Rattus norvegicus: one gene and its partners. The protein of the gene in region 2 binds, or shares a complex with, the protein of the main gene of each other region. Links are inferred from orthologs where the notes say so. Each region holds a gene or a part of one and is shown on either strand. Other genes may lie near its edges.

Region 1 (3,650 bases), on a different chromosome or scaffold from region 2:
AAAGTGGCTGGATATAAAAGTAACTCAAACAAATCAGTAGACTTCCTCTACTCAAAGGATAAACAGGCTGAGAAAGAAATTAGAGAAATGACAACCTTCATAATAGTCACAAATAACAAAAAATACCTCGGAGTGACTCTAACCAAGCAAGTGAAAGATCTGTATGACAAGAACTACAAGTCTCTGAAGAAAGAAATCGAAGAAGATCTCAGAAGATGTAAAGACTTCCCATGCTCATGTATTGGCAGAATTAATATAGCAAAAATGGCCATTTTGCCAAAAGCAATCTACAGATTCAGAGAAATTACCATCAAATTTCCAATTCAATTTTTCATAGAGTTAGAAAGAACAATTTGCAAATTCATTTGAAATGACAAAAGCCCAAGATAGTGAAAACTATCCTCAACAATGAAAGAACTTCTGTGGGAATCACCATCCCTGACTTCAAGGTGTATTACAGATCAATAGTGATAAAAACTGTATGTTCTTGTTACAGAGACAGGCAGATAGATCAATGAAATAGAATTAGAGACCCAGAAATGAACCCAAAAACCTATGGTCACTTGATCTTTGACAAAAGAGCTAACACCATCCAGTGGATAAAAGATAGCATTTTCAACATATGCTGTTGGTTTAACTGGAGGTCAACCTGTAGAAGAATGCAAATCAATCCATTCTTATTGCCCTGTACAAAGCTTAAGTCCAAGTGGATGGATCAAGCTAAAACCATGTACACTGATACTAATAGAAGAAAAAGGGGGAAAGAACCTTGAACACATGGGCAGTGGGGAAAAGTTCCTGAACAAAACAACAATGGTTTATGTTCTAAGATCAAGAAACGACAAATGGGACCTCATAAAACTGTCAAGCTTCTGTAAGGCAAAGGATATTGTCATTAGGACAAAATGGCAACCAACAGCTTGGGAAAAGATCTTTACCAATCTTACACCTGACAGAGGGCTAATATCCAAAATATACAAAGAACTTGAGAAGTGAGACTCCAGAGAGCCAAATAACCTGATTAAAAATGGGGTACAGAGCTAAACAAAGAATTCTCAGCTGAGGAATATTGAAAGGCTGAGATGTACATAAAGAAATGTTCAACATCTTTAGTCATTAAGGAACTGAAAATCAAAACAATCCTGAGATACCACCTCACATCAGTCAGAATGGCTAAGATCAAAACTCATGTGACAGTAGATCCTGGCAAGGATGTGGAGAAAGAGGAAAATTCCTCCATTTTTGGTGGGATTGCAAGTTGGTACAACCATTCTGGAAATCAATCTTGTGGTTCCTCAGAAAATTGGACATAGTACTACCTGTGGACCCAGCTATACCACTGCTGGGCATCTACTCAAAAGATGCTCCAACTTATAGCAAGAATACATGTTCCACTATGTTCATAGCAGCCTTACTTATAATAACAAGAAGCTGGAAAGAGCCCAGATGTCCCTCAACAGAGGAATGGATATAGAAATTGTGGTACAGCTACACAATTTGTTAAGCAGCTATTAAAAAAGCAATGACTACATGAAATTCTAAGGCAAATGGATGGATCTAAAAAATACCATCCTGAGTTAGGTAACCCAGTCACAAAAGAATACACATGGTATGCACTCACTGATAAGTGGATATTAGTCCAAAAAACTTGCAATACTTAAAAAATAATTCACAGACCACATGAAGCTCAAGAAGAAGTATGATCAAAGTGCGGATGCTTCAGTTCTTCTTAAAAGGGGGAACAAAAATATTCATAGGAGGAGATATGGAAACAATGTTTGGAGCAGAGACTGAAGGAATGGCCATTCAGAGCCTGCCCCACCTGGGGATCCAGCTCATATATAGACAGTCATCAAAACTAAACAATATTGATGAATCCAAGAAGTACATGCTGACATGAGCCTGATATGGCTGTCTCCTGAGAGGCTCTGCCAGAGCATGACAAATACAGAGGTGAATGCTAGCAACAAACCATTGAACTGAGAACAGGGTCCCCATTGCAGGAGGTAGAGAAAGGATTGAAGGAGCTGAAGGGGCTTGCAACCCCAAAGGAACAATATCAACTAACCAGAGCTCCAAGGGACTAAACCACTACCCAAAGAGTACACATGGACATACCCATGGCTCCAGCTGCATATGTAGCAGAGGATGGCCTTGTTGGGCACCAGTGTGAGGAGAAGCCCTTGCTCCTGCCAAGGCTGGACCCCCCACCCAGTGTAGGGGAATGTCAGGGCAGGGTGGTGGGAAGGGGGGGTCGTTTGGGAGGGGGGAACACTCATACAAAAACAGAGAGGGGGATGGGATAAGGGGTTTATGGCCAGGAAACAGGGATAGGGAATAACATTTGAAATGTAAAAAAAATATCCAATAAAAATAAATATTTTCCTGTATACTTAAGAAAACCTAGAAGAATGCACAAGAGGTCTTGAAGTAGGGTGTGGGAAGTTTTGGGAAGAGGTACCAGCTGACAATTTCTAGGCCATTCTGGGCTTCTTAGAAAGACCCAGCCTCTCAGAATATTTACTGTTCATGTACAGAGAGGAATTAAATTATGATACTGGTCCTCAAAAAAAAAAAAAAAAAGAACTTGCCCATTTTAGGAACACACTGGGAAGCTAATACCAGATACCAAAGATGCCAAGCTCCAGAATTTGTTTTAAAAAAGGTTGAAATATATTTATCAATTTCCTGATTGTTGTAACTTTCTAAAATTTTTTTCATCAAAACTAGATAGTGATGCATGGCTCTTTGGTCTGACCTGTCTTTAAAGAACAAGACTTCTCCCCGCAGGGTGCTGACTGCATCGAAGGACAAAGCAGAGCTACACATTGGTAAGGTCTCAGGGTCCAGAGAGTTAGATTTGGTGGGTACCACGAGGACATCAGGGGATTCTGTGGGAGGTCCTAAAGGGAACAGATTTAAAGAAGCAACGTTAGAAAAAAACGTGACCTGCCTGTCAACTCCATGCTTCCCAAAAGCCCTCAAGTACTATGAATTCAACCACAGATACTCATATGGGCAAAGTCACAAGGACTCCTTTTTCCAGTTTCTCTCACCATAGAGGGATTGAATACCATCTACATCATCTTGAGAGAGATGGAAACGGGCCAGGTCTGTGGAGGACTTGTAGACTGGGTACATCAAAGCTTCAGCATTGGCTGAGTGAAAGAGACCCAGGGAGTGGCCAAGTTCATGAGCAGCAACCAGGAATAGGTTGGTACCTGTTGAAGAAATCATACATAATAAGTTTCTTATTTCTTGCCTACATGTATATCATCTAGGCCAGCTGAGCATACCATTTGTTTACTTCCTGGAAATGCACAGGTTCTTACTCACCTTGTTTGCTGCTTCATTGAGCAGTAGACTGACCACACACGCAGCAGAGGAGCAAGTGTATTTAACAACTCATGCTTGAGATGAGTCTAAAGTATGCAGACACAGCCAACAGTTCTCTTTGGCTTCAAGAAAGTCTGAATACCTGTTCTGGCTTATTGTCAGAAATGGAATGAAGACTATTACTTATTGTTTAGCATGTTAGAGCACTTTCTTTTCCATTGTCTATGAAAAACTTAACACTGCTCCAGTATGTAGTTAGCACTTGACAATTTCAGTACCAGTCAACTAATCACAGGGTATTCATCTCAATTCAA
Region 2 (4,450 bases):
TCATTTACTGACATAATCCTCCCACTCCACTCTCTTTCCTGATGGCAATATGTCTAAACACAAGTTTACAGAAAACATCCACACCAACGAAAGGCTAGTTGCTTCTATTTTGAGTGGGAGGAAGAGGTTAGGTAACTGCTATGAGGGGAGGGAGTAGAAATACCTTAGTCATCTTGATCTCATAACGCTGGTATAAGGTGGTCTCGATGATTTCTGGGGAACCCATGAATTTAGCCCTTATAACTAGAGGAAAAGAAGGGGAAAATAAGGATTCAAATGGGCAGGCAGCATGAACCCATAGCAGCAAAACATATACAACATAGTTCAAATAGACAGCACACTTGATGGCTTCCACATCAGTTGATTCATCTAAATATTGTCTATTCTTTTAAGCACTGTTTTAAGCCCTTTTCATATATCCATTTGTTGGCTTACTCAACAAATGTTTTGGAGTGCCTGATGTATGCCAACCACTGTTCAGGGTCTTAGGGAAAGGACAATGACCCAAACACAGGAATCTATTTCCTTATGAAGCTCACATTCAAGTCAGGAGGAAACAGACTAACATTATGTAGCCAGAAATGGTGGCACAGGCCTGTAACCCCAGTTCTGTCAGAGCTTGATGGAGGATCGCTTTAGTATGAGTTCAAGACCAGTCTAGACAATTTAGCGAGAACTTGTTTAAAAATAAAAATTCACAAGAAAAGGGTTGGGTTTGTAGCTCAATTGTGCGGTGTTTGCCTAGGTCCTAGGTTCAATCCCCAGTATGGAGGAGGGAGAAAAGGTATGTGGATTGTTAGAAGCTATTAAGTGTGTTGGGAAATTAGAGAGGAAGTTGACAGATATTCTTTGCTTGACCACAATTTATTCAGGCTCATTAACCTTCTTCCAAGCTCATTAGTGAAGTTTCTCTTTCAAATACAGTTGTAGGGAAGTACCTTAAATTAGCTTAGTGAAAACACCAACCCTCATCTTATTCTCCACAGTATGTGATGGGACCACCAGACAAGTTTTCCTCAAGAGTCCTAAACTAGGTGTGGTGGCACAGACCTAACAATCTCAGCACTTGGAAGGCTGAGTGAGAAGAATCAGGGCTTCAAGACCAGCCTGAGTTATATAGTGAGACCTAGTCTCAAAAACAGAGTGAGCTTAAAGTCTATAGAGATGGCTTAATGGTTAAGAGTACTTGCTGCTCTTTGAGTTCCCAAGTTTGGTTCCTAGAATCTACATAGGGTAGCTAACAACCATCCATAACTCCAGCTCCAAGAGATCTGATGCCTTGGGAACTCCACAGGCACCCATACACCACACATGGAACACACACAAACATACACATAAATAAAATAAATCTTTTTAATGGACTTAGCCTGAATCCTCTTGCCTTTGATATTTCTTTTTGTTTAAGATTTATTTTATGTATATGAGTACACTGTGCTGTCTTCAGACATACCAGAAGAGGGCATCAGATCCCATTATAGATGGTTGGTAGGATTTGAACTCAGGACCTCTGGAAGAGTAGTTGGTGCTCTTAACCACTGAGCCATCTCTCCAGCCCACCTTTGATATTTCTTTTCAGTGATTTCCCATTCATCAACATTAAATTGTTCTTTGGCCATAGAGTTCCATTTGCCTATGCAATGTTGAAAGTTAAGCCCAATATCAATATCTATCTAAAATCAATCTCTCTCTTTCTCTCTCTCTCTCTCTGTAAATTCTGATTATCATAGTTCTAAATGAAGTCTGCCTTTCTGTGTCCTAACAAGGGATCAGAAGTACTATGTGGCTGGTATTAAAATTAAAGAAAGTTGGCAGGCACCTCAGTAAGGTGACTTTTGAGAAAGCCATGCATGTGGATAACTACAGAAAAGCATGTACATGGTACTGGGAGCAGCCAGCACAAAGGTGGGCTTAAGCCCAAGGATGTCAGTGTGGCAAAAGCAGATGTACGGAAGGGTAAGTAGAACTGTCCTAGGGACAACTACTGTAATGATCCCTACTAGACTAAGACAGACAGAAAGAGGGACAGACTCACCCAGGTCCGAGTTGCAGAAAGCTGTCTGTGGGTGGGTTGGGGCACAGCTACAGGCTTTACTGGAAGCTATCAATGATAGCAACAAGAGGATGCCAGAGGCCAGAGATGCAAAGGGCGCCATCGTGGTATCTGCTGGTAAAGACTAGGTGTTAGTAGGTTCCCAAACCAATGGCTTACATGGCCGTTGGCTCTAGGGAGACTCAGGAACTCTTTAGGTTAGAGAACACAGTTGGTGAATAAGGGAGCTGAGAACTTTGAGAATTTAACAGAATTGGGGAAATCTGACATTTGTGTAGTGATGAATTTGGAGTTTGGGAAACTGGAGAAGTATAATGGGGAGTTAGGGCTATTAAAATATAATGGGCTGGGAAGTTCAGAGATATTGGGGGATTTAGAATAGGTTTGTGGTTTTAGGGAGCTGGGGAAAATGGGGGGTTAAGGGTCTTGGGGAATTTGGAGGTTTACAGTAATAGGAATACCTCAGGAATTTGAAGGCAGAGGAATTTTTGAAGTTCCAGGAGCTAGACATGGCAAAGAGAACAGGGGTGTTACAGGAGCCGTAAAGATTGAGGGACAATGAAGAAATTTGGGGGAATTAGCAAGTTAGGAAGTTTTAAAGGCATTAAAGGCTTGTGGGTTTGGGGCACTTTGAGATGAATGCTAAGAGCATGAAAGAGTCTGGAGAGTCCCGCTGGGGACAATCATTCAGGACGCTCTCCCTTTATATTCCCCCTTGGCTAACTAGAGATCCTGATACCTGCAAGCCAAGTTGAATGGTTAGTCTGGCAAGGGACTGGATGGGCCTCGTGGCCGCACCAACACAGGCTCCAAGCAAACCCCAGTTCTGCCAGGACACCCGGCTCCCACTTACCTCTAGCGTGTCTCTAGGAGTCCGGATCAGCAGTGATGGAGGCAGGGACTGGCGGTGGAGAATAAATGTCCATGCGAGGGGTGGGGTTGGCGCGGAAATCACTGCCTCCAGGCTTCCTGGACGCATTACTCATCCACCCACTGCTGAAGTCAAAGCCTAGGGGCGGGCCCCAGGCTGAGCCCAAAGTACTCCCTCTTCTGCCAGCCAGCCCACTGCGCCCCCTTCCCCCAGCTCCGTCATGCACATTCCTTCCTGGCGGCCTTGAAGGGAAGAAGGGAAGAATAAAGACCGCTTAAGCCCCTGAAGCCTTGTGCCTCTCCGGTTTCCCACATTCCCCAAACTTCCTATGGCTGAAGCCAATAATTTCTTTCCCACGCCTTTCATCTACTATGTAACAATCTCACAAGAAGGCCTTTCCTGTGGATCTGAAATTCTGGTGAGGGGTGGCAGAGGAGAGACAAACTAGAAAAACAGTTGAGGGACATGACATGGGAGAAGGGGCACAAATACATAGTGGGGAAATTGATAACACTGAGAGTGTCTATGACTTATCCAGGATGGCAGTTGAGTGTGGCAGAACTGGGAGGGAACTGAGGCTGCATACAGACAGAGCCCAGGTAGTGACTTCTTCCCCAAACTTTGCAGTGGCTGCACATACCAGTGAAGATGTTTGAAGATATCCTTGGCTACAAGAGACCCTTAAGGTCTTAAACAGAAACAAGACCAAACAGGCAAATAGCTGAAGTGAAGAACTTTGTTAGGGTCACAGGACAATAAAGATTTAAACCTAGGCTTCCTGACCTGGAATACTAACTCAAGCAGGGTACAATCTTTGACAAGCAGGGAATGGTGTGGTGAGCGTTGCAAGGGGATGGGGGGAGGGAGGGGGTGAATGATGGTAAAAGCTAGTGAGTCAGTAGAAAAACCACCATCCCTACTCCATCCAGTCTTCCCCTTCCCCCACCAACCAGTCCACACCCCTGGTGGGAGTGGGAATGAGGCAACTGCTGCCCACCAGCTTTCTGATGATGCAGGAATATTCCCTGGGGTCCTGTAGAAGGATTCTATGGGCTGATTACCACCCTCAATTAAGATAGGGAGGACAGACCAATAGTAATGACAATGGTTTTAATCCCAGGGGGCAAGCTGATCCAGAAAATTAGAGGGTATCTAGTCTATACAGTGAGTTCCAGGACAGCCAGAGATACATAGGAAGAACCTGTGACAGAGAGAGACAGAGACAGAGAGAATGTGGTAGTGATGATCACAGCTACTTATTGAGTACTTACTGTATATCATTGCCAAGGTCTTTATGTACAATTTACTTTAGCTAATTACATTTTATTAACTTAGGTAGCTTAGTCCAATAACCACAGGACACAAAAACCTCCTGCCAGCACTCAACAGAGTATTCACTGTGTACAATACACTCTTTTAAAGGGTTTGTATTTTACATTGTGTGTGTGTGTGTGTGTGTGTGTGTGTGTGTGTGTGTGTGTGTGTGTACCTGTACTTATGCCATGGCATGCCTGTATTGTTTAGAGGAC
Region 3 (2,853 bases), on a different chromosome or scaffold from region 2:
ACCAAGCTTTGAGAGCAGCCTTAAGATGAGGGACAGTGGCAGGGGAAGGCAGTATGCCTGTGGCCCTCCAGTTCACTATTCCTCATGGCCAGTGATGCACACTGGAAAAGCCCTGTTTGTCAAGTTGAATCATTGTCTTTTACTTAATCAGAAAATTTGAATTTTGGGAACATTAGAGGGCATGCAGGAATCCTTCAAAAGAGAGAACTAACCTCCGGAATTGTGCTCTAAGCAGAGTTGCCCAATGTAACTCACCTCCAGTATTTGTCACCTACAAAGAAATACGTCTTCTTCTTCTCCTTTTCAAAAACAGCTGCATCAATCTTCTTCACGGTGGGAGGAAAGCCAAGAGTGTGGATCCTCTTTGGGTAACCTGCTTGGACTTCATTTCCTCGGACTGCCCAGAACTGACTTCCTGTTGAATAACCACACCCAAGAAAATTTGTTCAAATGAAGCTAATTGGTTTTAGAAATGAGAATAGTGAATTGTTGCGATAAAGATGAAAGCCAAAGTCTTGTTTTTTCATAACTGCCAACTCTGTGCTTAGGACATCGCAGGTATTTAAAACAATAGTTCCTGGTTGAGTATGTTGGCACAGACCTTTAAGCCTGACACTGGGGAGTCAGAGGCAGGTGGATTTCTAGGGGTTTGAGGCCAGCCTTACCTACACAGTAAGTGAGTTTGAGATCATCTGGGGGTACATACTAAGACCTTGCCTTAAAAATGATACTTTCTGAATGAGTAAATAGTAAATGAAAAAATAGATGAACATGTTCACTGTCTTTTCTGAGTTCATTTTTATGTATTTACTCTGTATTTATATCAATTACTTATTCCCTATGAGTTATCATAACCATTTCTTATAATGACCACTTAGTCTACACTTCTAAGACTTCCCTTAAAAGATTCACCTTATAAGGCAAACTTGTTGAAGCTCAGATTTGTTTAAAATGCTCGTTCACAATCACCAATTTTGATCTGTTCTCATTCCAATAAAACATCTCAAATTTAATACAATGAAGAGACTTCATAGTGCAAAGGCGTTGTAATAAGATTTCTTTCAACAAACTTTTGTACAGTTCTTACCTTTAAAAATCAGAACTCTGTCCTTGTTATTTGCCTCATAGGCAGCATCTAAGCCTGAAGGAAGAGAGGGCCAAAATGCTGAAATCAAATGGAATTCAGGCTCGGGATTCCACTGGGTTCTACGCCAGAAGTGCCTGTAATATATGAAAACCACAATAGTCTTTCTCTTTAAAAACACTAAGCCTGGGGAACAGCCTTCTGCTTGATGCTGCTTCATCTGCAGCAGCAGTGTGCGCTGGAGTTCTACATGAGATTCCAGGCAGTGGATACAGCCCAGGTTAACAGGAACATTCACCCTGTTCCAATAAAATTCCTCAGCTCGATTCCACTCAAGAGTATGTAAAATATTATATATTTTAAGAATTTTAAAATGACATTTATCTTTTAAAATGTGAGGACCTTGGAAGTCAGTACAAAAAAATTGGTGGCAGGAGGTACACATAGGTAGGGCTCAGGGACAGCACAAATGGAAGGGATTGTTCTTACATCTTTTGATACTACTTGAGAATTCTGCATGCACATGAATCATATTTTCTAAAATGAATTAATTGAAATAATAGCACTTCCTAACAAGAATAAAGATACTTGTCTGGTTCTAAAGATGGCTGGTGCTTTTAGAAGTTCTATGAGTTATGATATATAAGAAATGAAAAATAAAAATAAGGGACAGACTTCCCTGATTGTATGGATCTTACATTCTACTTTCCAAAAATAATCATCTTCTGGGAGTCTAAAAAAATATTCTGGACAATGCCAAGGGGGTCTTTAAAAATACTCTTTAAACCAGAGCTGAATGATTTTGAAACACGCCTGAAATGTATTGTTTATTATATTACATTTATTCTATACATTCATTATATCTAATTTCAAGTTTATTTTTCTTTTTGAGCATTGAATACCAGGAGAGTAGCTAGGAAAATGTTTTTGTCTAACCTGTCTTTAAAGAATAGGAATTCCCCTCTCAGCATGGTGACTGCATCAAAGGACAAAGCAGGATCACATTTGACTGGGGTCTCAGGTTTTGGAGAGACAGAGGGCACAGGAACCACTGTGGCATCAGAGGAGGGGCGGGCTCCTGAAGGGAGAGAAGTTTAGAAAAAGCAAGTATTAGTAGGTCAGGGAAGCATGAAACAATTTACAAACTATCCAAACTTCTTCATGGTGTTTTGAGATGAAGCAGTGTGTAGATATTTGATCCTGGGGCCAGAGAGAAGGCTCAGCTGGTAGTAAAGGAACCTGCTGGAGGCCTGACAACTTGGGATGTCTCATGTCATCACCACACAGGACACATATGATCAAAGGAGATAACCCACTCCCACAGGTTGACCTTCACATGTATGCCATAGTATACACACACAGGCATGCATAGCGCTTGCTCTCTCTCCCTCTTTCTCTTTCTCTCTCTCTCTCTCTCTCTCTCTCTCTCTCTCTCTCTCACACACACACACACACACCACACACACGCACACACACCACACACACACACACACACACACACACACACACACACACACACACACACAAATAAAAACAAAGCTTTCCTGAGACTTACTGAATCACATTCTTAAAGAGCACTGACTAAAGCAAGCCCACCCCAGGCCTCTTTTTCTTCATGCTCACCATACAGGGATTGAATGCCCTCTATATCATCCTGAGAAAGGCGAATGTTGGCTTGGCTCGTGGAGAACCTGTAGACTGGGTACATCAGAGATTCTTTGTTGTTTGAGTGAAAGAGACCCAGGGAGTGACCAAGTTCATGCGCAGCA

The links.
Region 1: the proteins of Timp1 (region 2) and Mmp3 are in contact, whole or in part, in a crystal structure (PDB 1UEA), measured with the Homo sapiens proteins. The link is inferred for Rattus norvegicus from reciprocal best matches to the Homo sapiens genes TIMP1 and MMP3. Residues at the interface, in NP_003245.1 of Homo sapiens: Cys24, Thr25, Cys26, Val27, Pro28, Pro29, Val52, Thr56, Leu57, Tyr58, Pro87, Ala88, Met89, Glu90, Ser91, Val92, Cys93, Thr121, Cys122, Leu156, Ser157, Pro159, Gln173, Leu174, Gly177, Glu179; in NP_002413.1 of Homo sapiens: Phe100, Thr102, Phe103, Phe171, Tyr172, Gly178, Asn179, Val180, Leu181, Ala182, His183, Ala184, Tyr185, Ala186, Thr207, Thr208, Gly209, Thr210, Val215, His218, Glu219, His222, Phe227, His228, Tyr237, Pro238, Leu239, Tyr240, His241, Ser242.
Region 3: the proteins of Timp1 (region 2) and Mmp10 are in contact, whole or in part, in a crystal structure (PDB 3V96), measured with the Homo sapiens proteins. The link is inferred for Rattus norvegicus from reciprocal best matches to the Homo sapiens genes TIMP1 and MMP10. Residues at the interface, in NP_003245.1 of Homo sapiens: Cys24, Thr25, Cys26, Val27, Pro28, Asn37, Leu57, Tyr58, Pro87, Met89, Glu90, Ser91, Val92, Cys93, Arg98, Thr121, Cys122, Cys155, Leu156, Ser157, Ile158, Gln173, Leu174, Gly177, Ser178, Glu179, Lys180; in NP_002416.1 of Homo sapiens: Phe170, Tyr171, Gly177, His178, Ser179, Leu180, Ala181, His182, Ala183, Tyr184, Pro185, Tyr191, Asp205, Ala206, Ser207, Gly208, Val214, His217, Glu218, His221, Phe226, His227, Thr231, Tyr236, Pro237, Leu238, Tyr239, Asn240, Phe242, Thr243.

The regions. Positions count from the first base shown.
Region 1 is NC_086026.1:12,928,249-12,931,898, reverse strand, and holds part of Mmp3 (stromelysin-1 preproprotein), read right to left. Parts: intron 3,222-3,650; coding exon 3,057-3,221; intron 2,904-3,056; coding exon 2,759-2,903; intron 1-2,758. UniProt on the Homo sapiens protein: Metalloproteinase with a rather broad substrate specificity that can degrade fibronectin, laminin, gelatins of type I, III, IV, and V; collagens III, IV, X, and IX, and cartilage proteoglycans.
Region 2 is NC_086039.1:3,768,196-3,772,645, forward strand, and holds the start of Timp1 (metalloproteinase inhibitor 1 precursor), read right to left. Parts: upstream 2,928-4,450; 5' UTR 2,904-2,927; intron 2,554-2,903; exon of another isoform or gene 2,512-2,553; intron 2,165-2,511; 5' UTR 2,154-2,164; coding exon 2,033-2,153; intron 244-2,032; coding exon 164-243; intron 1-163. UniProt on the Homo sapiens protein: Metalloproteinase inhibitor that functions by forming one to one complexes with target metalloproteinases, such as collagenases, and irreversibly inactivates them by binding to their catalytic zinc cofactor.
Region 3 is NC_086026.1:12,977,686-12,980,538, reverse strand, and holds part of Mmp10 (stromelysin-2 precursor), read right to left. Parts: coding exon 2,708-2,853; intron 2,163-2,707; coding exon 2,021-2,162; intron 1,222-2,020; coding exon 1,088-1,221; intron 416-1,087; coding exon 256-415; intron 1-255. UniProt on the Homo sapiens protein: Can degrade fibronectin, gelatins of type I, III, IV, and V; weakly collagens III, IV, and V. Activates procollagenase.